Linked DNA regions of Arabidopsis thaliana. The protein of the gene in region 2 interacts with the protein of the main gene of each other region in a pairwise test. Each region holds a gene or a part of one and is shown on either strand. Other genes may lie near its edges. The genes, in order: IAA29, HB32 and AT3G22660.

Region 1 (3,783 bases), on a different chromosome or scaffold from region 2:
TTGTTTGGTAATTAAATAATTTTCAATTTTTGTAGGGATCTTTTTACAGTTGTTTGATTGTTTCATTCATAACTTTAGTAGATCTAAAGTTGTGTTTCTCTAAATTTCACTAAAATATCTATTTTCCTTATATAAAGATTATGTTTGTCATATTATTTAATTTAAAGATTATAAACTTATGATATAATTTTATGCAAATTGTAAATATAATAACCATTTTAATAAAAGATTTTCTTATATATCATTCATTATTGATTAATATTTTAATCTAAATTACGCATTTTAAGCTAAGATCAATAATATTCATTTTAAATTTTGTTATCAGCTATTCAGCTAATTAAATTGTTTAAGAAATGTATCAGTTTTTATGTCATTTTTTTTCTGTTTACTCATGCTTTTTTTTTTCCCCTTGTTTACTCACAATTTAAAATCGTACTCCGATCTAATTCAAACCAAAATTTAATTACTTGGAAATCTCTTGAATCACATAAAGTGACATACTTACTTGTGTAAAACCCGGACGTCCGCAACCATTACATTCTTATGGTTTCTCAATCAAACAAGTCTATGAAAAAAAAATCAATTCGGTACACACAAAAAGTCTAACATCTTAATTATTATCAGCTAGTCTGTCTTTGACAATTCATGAGTTTTTTTTACTTTTGAATTTTCTTTAGCTTTTTGTCCATGTGTTAGCCATGGATCAGATAACAACAGATTATAAACCATTGGATTTGATACTAAGAACTAGAAGAATAGAGGAAAAAGATCGAGTGGAAATTTAATCAAATGATAGACATTTTAATTACAAAATAAAAAATAATGGTCCGATTTGAACGCCTATCCTTAAAACAAACATCTTGTATATGCACACGGTCGATCTCTAATTATTGATATCCGATGAACAGATTCCGCAAAGATCCTACAAAACCAAAACAACAAGTTAAGTATCAATATATAAGAAAGAGAGTATAGTAGTCATTACTCAATAAGTCATTTTTCTTGAAATATAGAGAAGTAAACTTACTTCCATGTAACATCCCCTCGAAGTAGCCAGTCACCCTCTTTCCCTTGGAAGGTGAATGTATAATTTGTATCTTCTCTGTCGCAATCTTCATCTGATAACCCAAAATTAGATTCAATAGTAGTAAAAAGTTACGTTCTATTTTCAATTGTTTATAGGTTTCTTACTCTAGATTTTGATAAACGTAATTAGTACTTACATTCGGTAAACATAGTGATCAAGGAGTTAGTGAGGGACTCGTAAGAGTTAAAAAGCTTGATATCCACTTTTCTTGCTATTGCCACACCATCCATCTTAACCTTAACATACATTGATGATCTTGATGATATTGACGAAGAAGATGATGATCCCACAGTAGCCGTTGTTGGATTAGATATGTTGTTGTTCATCGCCGTGATCCTCCTACCACGATGATGATACGGGCAATGATGGTGATTACGAATATGACGATGATGATAACTACCATACTTTATCATACATGTTTTTACTGGTGGCCATCCAACAACTTCGCTATTTTCCTCCTCATCACTAAATATTAAAATTAATTATATGTTACAAAAAAATACAAATTATGCCTCTCCATTGAGTTAACTACAAGTCTACAACATCATAACATTTTTGAAAACTACGGAGTCATTTATTATATAATAATACTAGATGTAACTACTTTAACCTAATTGTTGTCAAATACTAAAATAGTCAAGGTACTCACTCGTAAACTATTGAAGACTCGGATTCCAGAGGATCTTCGTCTTCCTCGTTGGGCTGGCCATTCAAGGCAAACAAACGCTGTTTTGGCATATAACAATTTTCCTCCACATTCCCTAACCCAAACGTCGCCTCAAAACGCAGTTTTTCGGTACCCAAACAAGACGCAGCACCCTCGATCGCACAATGCTTGTTGAGGTCAAAGTTAAACCCTAACTTGGAAGATTTATGAGGTGAAAGAGATAGACCAAGATCCAACTCCATTTCTAAGGCAGCTTCGTCTTTGATGAAACTAAAAGCTTTTGTTCTTTTATTATTGGCTTTGGAAAAGGTTGTGTTCGTTGGTGTTGATTGCTGAATTAGAGGATCATGAGTATTCCTATTTATAGTAAAAGGAAATGGGGGCAGAGGTCAAGGAGTAATATATGGCTTTATCAAAAATATACATATATATGTATATAATATTATGTACATTTTATGTAACCCACACAAATATAGATGTGGATAGATGGTATCTTAACCAACACGCTACTATTTATTCTAAACAACTAAAACAGTAATCATTCAAGTATTAGAATATACTAGTAATTTATATCGTTAAATTCTGAACTTTTAGTTCTATATCTTCTTGGCCCATAATATAGAACATATAGTTGGCTAGGATAATTATTATCTTAAAATGTTTCATAGTAGTATGTAAATCTAGACCCAACATGACTGAAGTAACGTTTCACCAGATAACTTATCTTTTTACGAATATTCATCTCTATAAGATCCAATGAAGTACGAAATCATATAGTTTAGGAAGTAACACAAAACCAATAGTCTATACCAAAAACAGGTGATACTAAACAGTTTTAGATTTTCTGATTTTTATGAATATATGAAATTTATGGCTTTCACGTTAAGCGAAAGGTAGTGAGGAAGTTCCTAGTTCTCCGAAGGAAAAAGGTCTTTTGGGAGAGAAGTAATGGCTTCCGACATTGATTAAGTTCGGGTCGGCCAATATCCCAACATTGATGCTAACACATTTTTACATTATTTTATCTAAAGTTTTATGCTTTTCTGCTTTAAATACATCTTATAAATTTTATTTTTATATTCAAGATCCACCTTATCTACACTGTATAACAAGTTCTCACCTACTTTTAATTTCAAATTTTGATCAAAACATAACATTATTACAAACGATTATATCATAAATTCCGCTCATTATATAATGAGCAAAACTTGCAAAATAAATTTATGGAAGGATTTACGGCTGCTAACTTGTGTTAGATGTGCGTCTTTAATTCATACTTTTGGCAATATGACAATCAACATATTTTAAAAAAAAAAATTAAGCATGTACTAAAAGAATGATAAAGTGCATCTATACTAAGAAATAAGAAGATGCATATTTCGTCAAGAGACACATGATTCAACGAATTTAGACATCCAACATCAAACCAACACGAATATTAGTAATAGACAAGTTTGGTTAATGTTGGAACGGACAACGTCCCATATTTTTGTTTACATTCTATGTTTCCAATAGAAAATTTGGTTTCGCACGGAAAAGGTGGAATTTAAGAATCATTGTATACAATACTATAAATGTGATACTTAAACTGATAACTGTAAGTAATACTCCTAGCAAACTCTGATTTTTCAGCTTGTCATAACTTTTGTTAACCTTTTAAGAGACAAAACTATCACTAGACATTTATAGCTTGACTCACTATACAAGTATTGACTTCATCAGTTGCAATTTTGTGGGGAAGAGTTGGATCAAATTATGAATAAGGGCTATTAAGTACGGTTTGCCTATCCTGAGGTACTTTGCTCTATATGGGAAGGAACATAGTTATTACTTTTTATAAACATAAATTTTGACAACTGTTGTTTTTATTGTAACCAACAAATTGAGGATCTTTATAGCTTATAGTTTCTTTGGATTGATTACGTAAACTAATTGAAACGACTAGTACCTCCTCCCCTATTTGACTAGGATACAATCATACAACGTAACAGGTTGAATTGCCGACATATGATTTTATTAAAACCAGTGT
Region 2 (3,176 bases):
ATCAGTAGGTAAACACTAGAATAATTGTAGACTAGAGCTATGTTTTTTAGTTTTCTCAAAGGTGTTCTTATTGGCCTTGAAATGCCAACAAAAGCCCAATTAAAGTTGAAACTTTCGTGGGAATGGGATGCTTGGTATAATGGTAGCAAAGTTACAATTTTATGAATCAATTAGTTCACAATTTTATTGGTATATACTTTTAAGTATATGGTTTTACGACTTTATAAAAAAGCAAAAAGTATAAAAATTATTTTTGAAATGACTATTTCTACAAAAAAAAGCATAACAGCTTTTATTGGCTTTGATGATGTCATTATAATTTTTAGTAACAAACCTCGAAAAAACACAATGTTGTGTTATTTCCGTAACTAATTGTCTTTTCATTACGTGAAATATATCTTACCATTAATTATTTACAAATTTTAGAATTAGATATGTAATCTTTACAATTTTCTATCAAAACAAAATGTCATTTTGCCATCCTTTCCCATAATAATTAGTACTACTATTCAACTACTTCAATATTATTACGTATAAATATTCTGATTGGCGAACAGTATTGACCATAAATAAAACGTCAGCTAGTTGTCTTGTCAAAACTCAAATCCCACCGACGTAAAAAGAAGAATCATAAAGACCAATTAAAGAGTGAACCAGTTAGTAATTAAGGACATGTCCAAATCAAACACATTAAACCCACTAATGATAAAATAATAATCCATTAAAATAAGCGATCAAGGAGGAGAAATTAACACAGAAGGGATGAAAATGAAATTGGAACTAAATTATAGTATTATCTCAATTAAGGATATTAGTTAATTAGTTAGTGATAAAACTTTTTATTATTGTTAACCCAAGTTTTAAAATGATAACGAGTAACACCAATCCCTTCACAGAAGACTCTTATCTCTTCTCTAAGCGCTCTCTTATCCTTCAACGTCCATCCCAACTTCGCCGCGTAATCTTTCATCGCCTCTCTCTGCTCCGCCGTGAACTTTGACTTCCTCCGCCTCTGCACCGTCATCTTCTCTTCCGTCGAAGTCTCCTCCGTGTCATCCTCCTCCTCCTCATTTCTTTCCTCAGCCGTTTTCCATTTCAGCCTCGCCAGCTGCTTCACGCGCCTTAAGCTCGTGAACGGGAAGCGCGTGTGATTGATTTGAGGAGAAGATATGACGTCTATACGACGGTGGTAGCTGCGGTGGCAACCACAGGCGACGCAGAGATCGCCGGTGGATGGTTGAGAGTATTCACGGCAGCCATCGATGGCGTAAGAGCCGAGCTTCGCGGCGTGGTTGCGCATGCATTCTCTGTAGACACAAGTACTCTGCATCTTCTTGGCTCTCTAATTAGAAGAGAGAGACTTTGTTTTTTTTTGAGTAATGATTTTTGCGTTTAGGGTTTGTTTTGGAAGAGTTTGGTTTTGGGTTACTTAAGTTATGATATGGTGTTTTTTTGTGTCAGAAAGAGTTGGGAGTTACAAAAAGAGCAAAAATTATTGTTACTTACTTGCTTTAAGATTTTGTACTTACGTGTTTATTAGTTGTCATAATAAATGTGAAAAACCCACTTTTTGAACTGTTTCACTGGCTTTGCTTTTCTACACATCCATAATTTCGTATCCTCTCAGCTCATAAAGTTGTCATCTCTACCCATAGTTAACTCTTTCAATCCATTGGGTTAAGTGTAGTAGCAATAATGAGGAATAAGAAAACTAAACCACTTTTTGTAAAACTATAGCGGCTAATTAGTACTAGTAAACTAGTACTAATATATTAGTAATAAGTTTTTAATATAGGTATAAACAAATTTAATAAGTTTGGATTGTATAGAGGTCACATGTTTCTAAATAAGTAGAAGTATTTTGATTTATAAAAGTAAGATTTAAGAAACTAATTTTGTAAAATTGAGAAATATCAATAATATATTGTAACTAAAATGAAACTATAATTAAGAAGCAAAGATCAAAAGTTTTCAAAGAATCTGATTTTATTGCAAAAAGAAGTCTGAAACGCTTTCTTTTAAGAGGTTTAGCAAAAAAGCAATTGTGTGACCCACGAGTTGACTATTCACTATCGTATATGTTCATTTGCCTACTTTATGTTTTGTGTGTAATTTAGCAAGCTAAACGATTATTTTACGGCTTAACGATATCAATCACACCATTAATAATTAAGATATGTATATTTCCATATTGTACAAACAAAGTCATAATTTGACTTGCTCAAACCACATACATTATATACGATTACAACACTACTACACTAGAAAATTGCCTCAAAACAAAATCAACGAAACATATAGAAAAGCCAACCAAACAACACTTATCTAATGAACTTATTACGTAATCAATCGAGTTAAACTGAAAAATGGAAGATAATAATTTAGTAACGACATCAAAAATATCTTTTTTTATTTTGGTCAAAACTGAGATTTCTTAATTTTAGCTTATCCTTATCTAATTCGTTTTAAACCAGCAAAGAATTGACATCAAAGAAAACAAAACACGGTTTAAAATGAAAATTATAAAGCGCGAAATAGAAACTAACAATTTGAAACCACACACATTAGTCGGAAGATGAAGCTTTGGAAACGCGCCGCCGTAGTTCTCAAAGACGGACCTAGTCTCATCGCGGCTGATGACATTCTCACAGCAGCCGTTGTGAAAGCTACAAGCCACGACGAGCTCTCCATTGATACAGAGAGCGCTCAATTCATCTACCGTCACGTTCTCTCTAGCCCGTCAAGCCTCAAGCCTCTCGTAAGCTTAATCTCGTCTCGCGTGAAACGCACGCGAAGCTGGGCGGTTGCTTTAAAAGGCTTAATGCTAATGCACGGCTTCTTCCTCTGTAAATCAACCGTAGCAGAATCGATCGGACGGTTACCTTTCGATCTTTCGAGTTTCGGCGAAGGTAATTCACGGATTATGAGCAAATCCGGTGGGTTTAATCTCTTCGTACGTGCTTATTTCGCGTTTCTTGATCGAAGATCGATTCTGTTTCACGATGGGAATCGTCATCGATACAACGAAGAATCATCGGTTCTGATTCGACTTGTGATTATTCGTAAGATGCAGATTATTGTTGATTCTTTGATTAGAATCAAACCGATTGGTGAAAACATGATGATACCTGTGATTAATGAAGCTATGGAGAATGTGGTTAGTGAGATTATGGAGA
Region 3 (3,949 bases), on a different chromosome or scaffold from region 2:
AGAGAAGTCTGCGTTTAGATTCAAACGGAACAAAATGCTCACTAAGCTTAGGATTAGTAAGCTTGTTTCGTATACTTTACCTCGGAGAATCTTCCAACGGAGGTTTCTGGTAACGAATAACACTGCAGAGGAGTCGCCGATTGTTGCCGCAGAGTCACCGGAGCTACCGTCTTGGATTAAAGACTTTCTATCAAACAAGCCTTCTTCTTCATCGAGTTCGGTTTCCAAAGATGATGAAGATTTTGTTATCCCTTCTTTGGCGAATTGGGTCGAGAGCCAGAAGTTTAGTCGTCAACAAGTCTCAGAGGGAAATGTAGTGAAGAAACCAGTGGAAGATATTGATAAAGTTTGCGACTTTTTGAATAAGAAGGACACGTCTCATGAGGATGTTGTTAAAGAGTTGAGTAAATGCGATGTGGTGGTTACAGAGAGTTTGGTTTTGCAAGTTCTAAGAAGGTTTAGTAATGGTTGGAATCAAGCTTACGGGTTTTTCATTTGGGCAAATTCACAAACAGGTTATGTGCATTCAGGTCATACTTATAATGCAATGGTTGATGTGTTGGGGAAATGTAGGAATTTTGATTTGATGTGGGAATTAGTCAATGAGATGAACAAGAATGAAGAATCTAAGCTTGTTACGCTTGATACGATGAGTAAGGTTATGAGGAGATTGGCCAAGTCAGGGAAATATAATAAAGCTGTTGATGCTTTTTTAGAGATGGAGAAGAGTTATGGTGTGAAAACAGATACTATTGCTATGAACAGTTTGATGGATGCACTTGTGAAAGAGAATAGTATAGAGCATGCTCATGAAGTTTTTCTGAAGCTTTTCGATACAATCAAGCCGGATGCGCGGACATTCAACATTTTGATTCACGGTTTTTGTAAAGCTCGGAAATTTGATGATGCTAGAGCGATGATGGATTTGATGAAGGTTACTGAGTTCACTCCTGATGTTGTTACTTACACTAGCTTTGTGGAAGCTTATTGCAAGGAAGGGGATTTTAGGAGGGTTAATGAAATGTTGGAAGAGATGCGAGAGAATGGGTGTAATCCTAATGTTGTGACTTATACTATTGTGATGCATTCTTTGGGTAAATCTAAACAAGTAGCTGAAGCTTTAGGAGTGTATGAGAAGATGAAAGAAGATGGTTGTGTTCCTGATGCTAAGTTTTATAGCTCATTGATACATATTTTGTCGAAGACTGGTAGGTTTAAGGATGCAGCTGAGATATTTGAGGACATGACGAATCAAGGAGTTCGTCGTGATGTTTTAGTCTACAATACCATGATTTCCGCTGCGCTTCATCACTCACGAGATGAGATGGCTCTACGTTTGCTTAAAAGGATGGAGGATGAGGAGGGGGAATCATGTAGTCCAAACGTTGAGACTTATGCTCCATTGTTGAAGATGTGTTGCCATAAGAAGAAAATGAAGCTACTTGGAATATTATTGCATCACATGGTGAAAAACGATGTTAGTATCGATGTTTCGACATATATTCTTCTCATTAGAGGGTTATGTATGAGCGGGAAAGTTGAAGAAGCTTGCTTGTTCTTTGAGGAAGCAGTACGAAAAGGAATGGTTCCTAGAGATAGCACTTGCAAAATGTTGGTAGATGAGCTTGAGAAGAAAAATATGGCAGAAGCAAAACTCAAGATTCAGAGTTTGGTTCAATCGAAAACAATGATTGATTCTCACAGTCCTTTATCTGTTTCGTAGAGATTAGAGTTTTGGAGCCTTGGCTCAAAGTTTTGTTTTCCTTTCTGTTGAATGATACTCTTATACTATGTTAGATCTCAAATCATGTGACCTTTACTAAAATGAAATGAATCAATTTGTCACAAGTTTTCATGTCTTAGATCCGGTTTATAAATAGTAACGGGAACCAATTGAGCGATAATTTGAACCCGGTATGATCCGGTTTTGTGAGATTTCCGGTTTAGTATAAAGCAGAAAAGGGTTTTACAAAGTCGAAGCCTTTAAAACTAAGTTTCTTCTTCTTCTTCCTTGCGCCGGCGGGTTCACTATCTCTCTTCTCTCTCTCAAAAACCCTACTCAAGCACAAGCTTCTTCAATCTTCTCCGTAATCAACAGTAAGTTTTCTTCTATTCCTTCTCAAAGGGTTTGTGTCAATAGAATGATAAACCCTAATTTTGTTCATGGTTATAATCTTAAGTCCTTAGATAAAGTATCGAACTTTATTGTCATATAGAAGGTAACGGAACCAGTTATGGAATCTCTCTTTGCGTTGGTGACTTATAAACCCTAGTTTCTGTGATTCGCCAAGTTTTTTTTTTACCCAAAGGTATAAAAGTCTGAACTTTTTTGATTCTGAATCTAATTTTGTTTGTTGTTATCGAATTTTGAGTAGATGTCATTGGAAGAGGATATAGTATCAGATGATGAGATGAACATGATTGATGAGGATGATGCTACTGACTCCGAAGCGGAGTCTCTTTCGGATTCGGATACAGAGAACGAGATCACCGAGAAATTGGCTGAGCCTACGAAGACTGCGATATACAACAGAGATGGGTTGCTTGATAAGCTTCAAGATATTAGCTGGCCTGAAGATGTTGATTGGACTCATAAGCTTACTGTTGAGATTGACCAGGGAGGAGCTGTGGATGTAAACGATGACCTTGCGAGAGAGACGGCGTTCTACACTCAAGCGCTTGAAGGGACAAGAGAAGCGTTTGGTAAACTCAATGAAATGGGTGTGAATTTTCTCAGGCCTGCGAATTACTATGCGGAGATGGTGAAATCGGATGTTCATATGGAGAAAGTGAAGTCTCGGCTTTTGCATGAGAAGAAACAGATTGAGGAGTCTGAAGAGAGGAGGAAGGCTAGGGATAATAAGAGAATGGCTAAGGAAGTACAGTCTCAGAAGATGAAGGAACGTGCGAAGGAGAAGAAGGATAACATTGAGTCTGTGAAGAAGTGGAGGAAACAGAGGCAGCAGAGTGGGTTTAGTGATAAAGCTGGTGAGCCTGAACTTGATTTCGAAAGTGGAAAGAGTTTCCAGAGAGGAGGAGGTAAGAAAAGACCAGGTGTGTCTCCCGGAGATCGATCAGGAGGTAAAGGAAGGCCTACTTCGAGGATGGGCAACAAGAAGAGGGAGTTTCGGGATTCCAAGTTTGGTCATGGTGGTAGGAAGGGTTTGAGCAAGCAGAACACAGCAGAGACGACAAACGATTTCAAAGGCGGTTTCCGTGGTGGAAAAGCTAGCGGAAACAAGAGGCAGAAGAGGTAAAAGGTTTGATTATCTAAACCCACTTCAAAACTACTATAAACTATTTGTCTTCTTTGTTTTTTTTAAGAACATGTATTTTGTTTTGGAAACCCTGTGGTAAGGGTCTTAGAACCAATACAATTTTGTACTAGTGATTACTTGAATTAACAAAGTCCCTTGTTTGAAGTCTCATAGTTAACACTTGAAGTTGAAACTTTATATGATAGAAATACAACAAAACAAAGCTTAGAGCATACAAAAAAAAAATCCTGAAACCAGTAGCAACCCTAGGAAGTTTTATTCTGGAACTGGAACCAGACTTGGAACATATGCATAACCGCAAACAAAAGGCCTATTATCACTACACAAATCACATCGTCCTGCATCAATTTGTTTCTTCACTATTCCATCTTTACTAATCATGCAAACGCTAACGCAAACATCATCATCGGTTTCCTCTTCGGTCTCTTGCTCACACCATACCATGATATTATCGTTCTTGTCAATGAAATAACTTGGATGAGTGAGATGTTGATCAGTATGTAATGTCGGGAGATCAGGGCTAGTCACGTCTACGTACTTGGTCCATGAGACTACCTCATCGCTCAATTTGTTTGTGATCCAAACTTCGATCTTCATTGTTTCTCCACTTTGATGTAACAAAGAAAGCCTATCTCCTCTTAAACTCGATAAGGCTGCCGTGTCTAATACAT

What was found.
Region 1: the proteins of HB32 (region 2) and IAA29 interact in binary tests that used the Arabidopsis thaliana proteins (3 or more experiments, as listed by UniProt).
Region 3: the proteins of HB32 (region 2) and AT3G22660 interact in binary tests that used the Arabidopsis thaliana proteins (3 or more experiments, as listed by UniProt).

The regions. Positions count from the first base shown.
Region 1 is NC_003075.7:15,581,692-15,585,474, reverse strand, and holds IAA29 (indole-3-acetic acid inducible 29), read right to left. Parts: upstream 2,144-3,783; 5' UTR 1,997-2,143; coding exon 1,737-1,996; intron 1,553-1,736; coding exon 1,224-1,552; coding exon of another isoform or gene 1,213-1,223; exon of another isoform or gene 1,119-1,212; coding exon 1,028-1,118; intron 923-1,027; coding exon 847-922; 3' UTR 577-846; downstream 1-576. UniProt on the Arabidopsis thaliana protein: Aux/IAA proteins are short-lived transcriptional factors that function as repressors of early auxin response genes at low auxin concentrations.
Region 2 is NC_003070.9:5,046,200-5,049,375, reverse strand, and holds HB32 (homeobox protein 32), read right to left. Parts: upstream 1,595-3,176; 5' UTR 1,331-1,594; coding exon 824-1,330; 3' UTR 623-823; downstream 1-622. Other genes in the region: AT1G14686 (ENTH/ANTH/VHS superfamily protein), read left to right, coding at 2,576-3,176. UniProt on the Arabidopsis thaliana protein: Putative transcription factor.
Region 3 is NC_003074.8:8,015,545-8,019,493, reverse strand, and holds AT3G22660 (rRNA processing protein-like protein), read left to right. Parts: upstream 1-1,985; 5' UTR 1,986-2,097; intron 2,098-2,375; coding exon 2,376-3,257; 3' UTR 3,258-3,443; downstream 3,444-3,949. Other genes in the region: AT3G22670 (Pentatricopeptide repeat (PPR) superfamily protein), read left to right, coding at 35-1,723; CEG (F-box and associated interaction domains-containing protein), read right to left, coding at 3,534-3,949. UniProt on the Arabidopsis thaliana protein: Required for the processing of the 27S pre-rRNA. Plays an important role in plant growth and senescence by modulating ribosome biogenesis in nucleolus. Associates with ribosomes.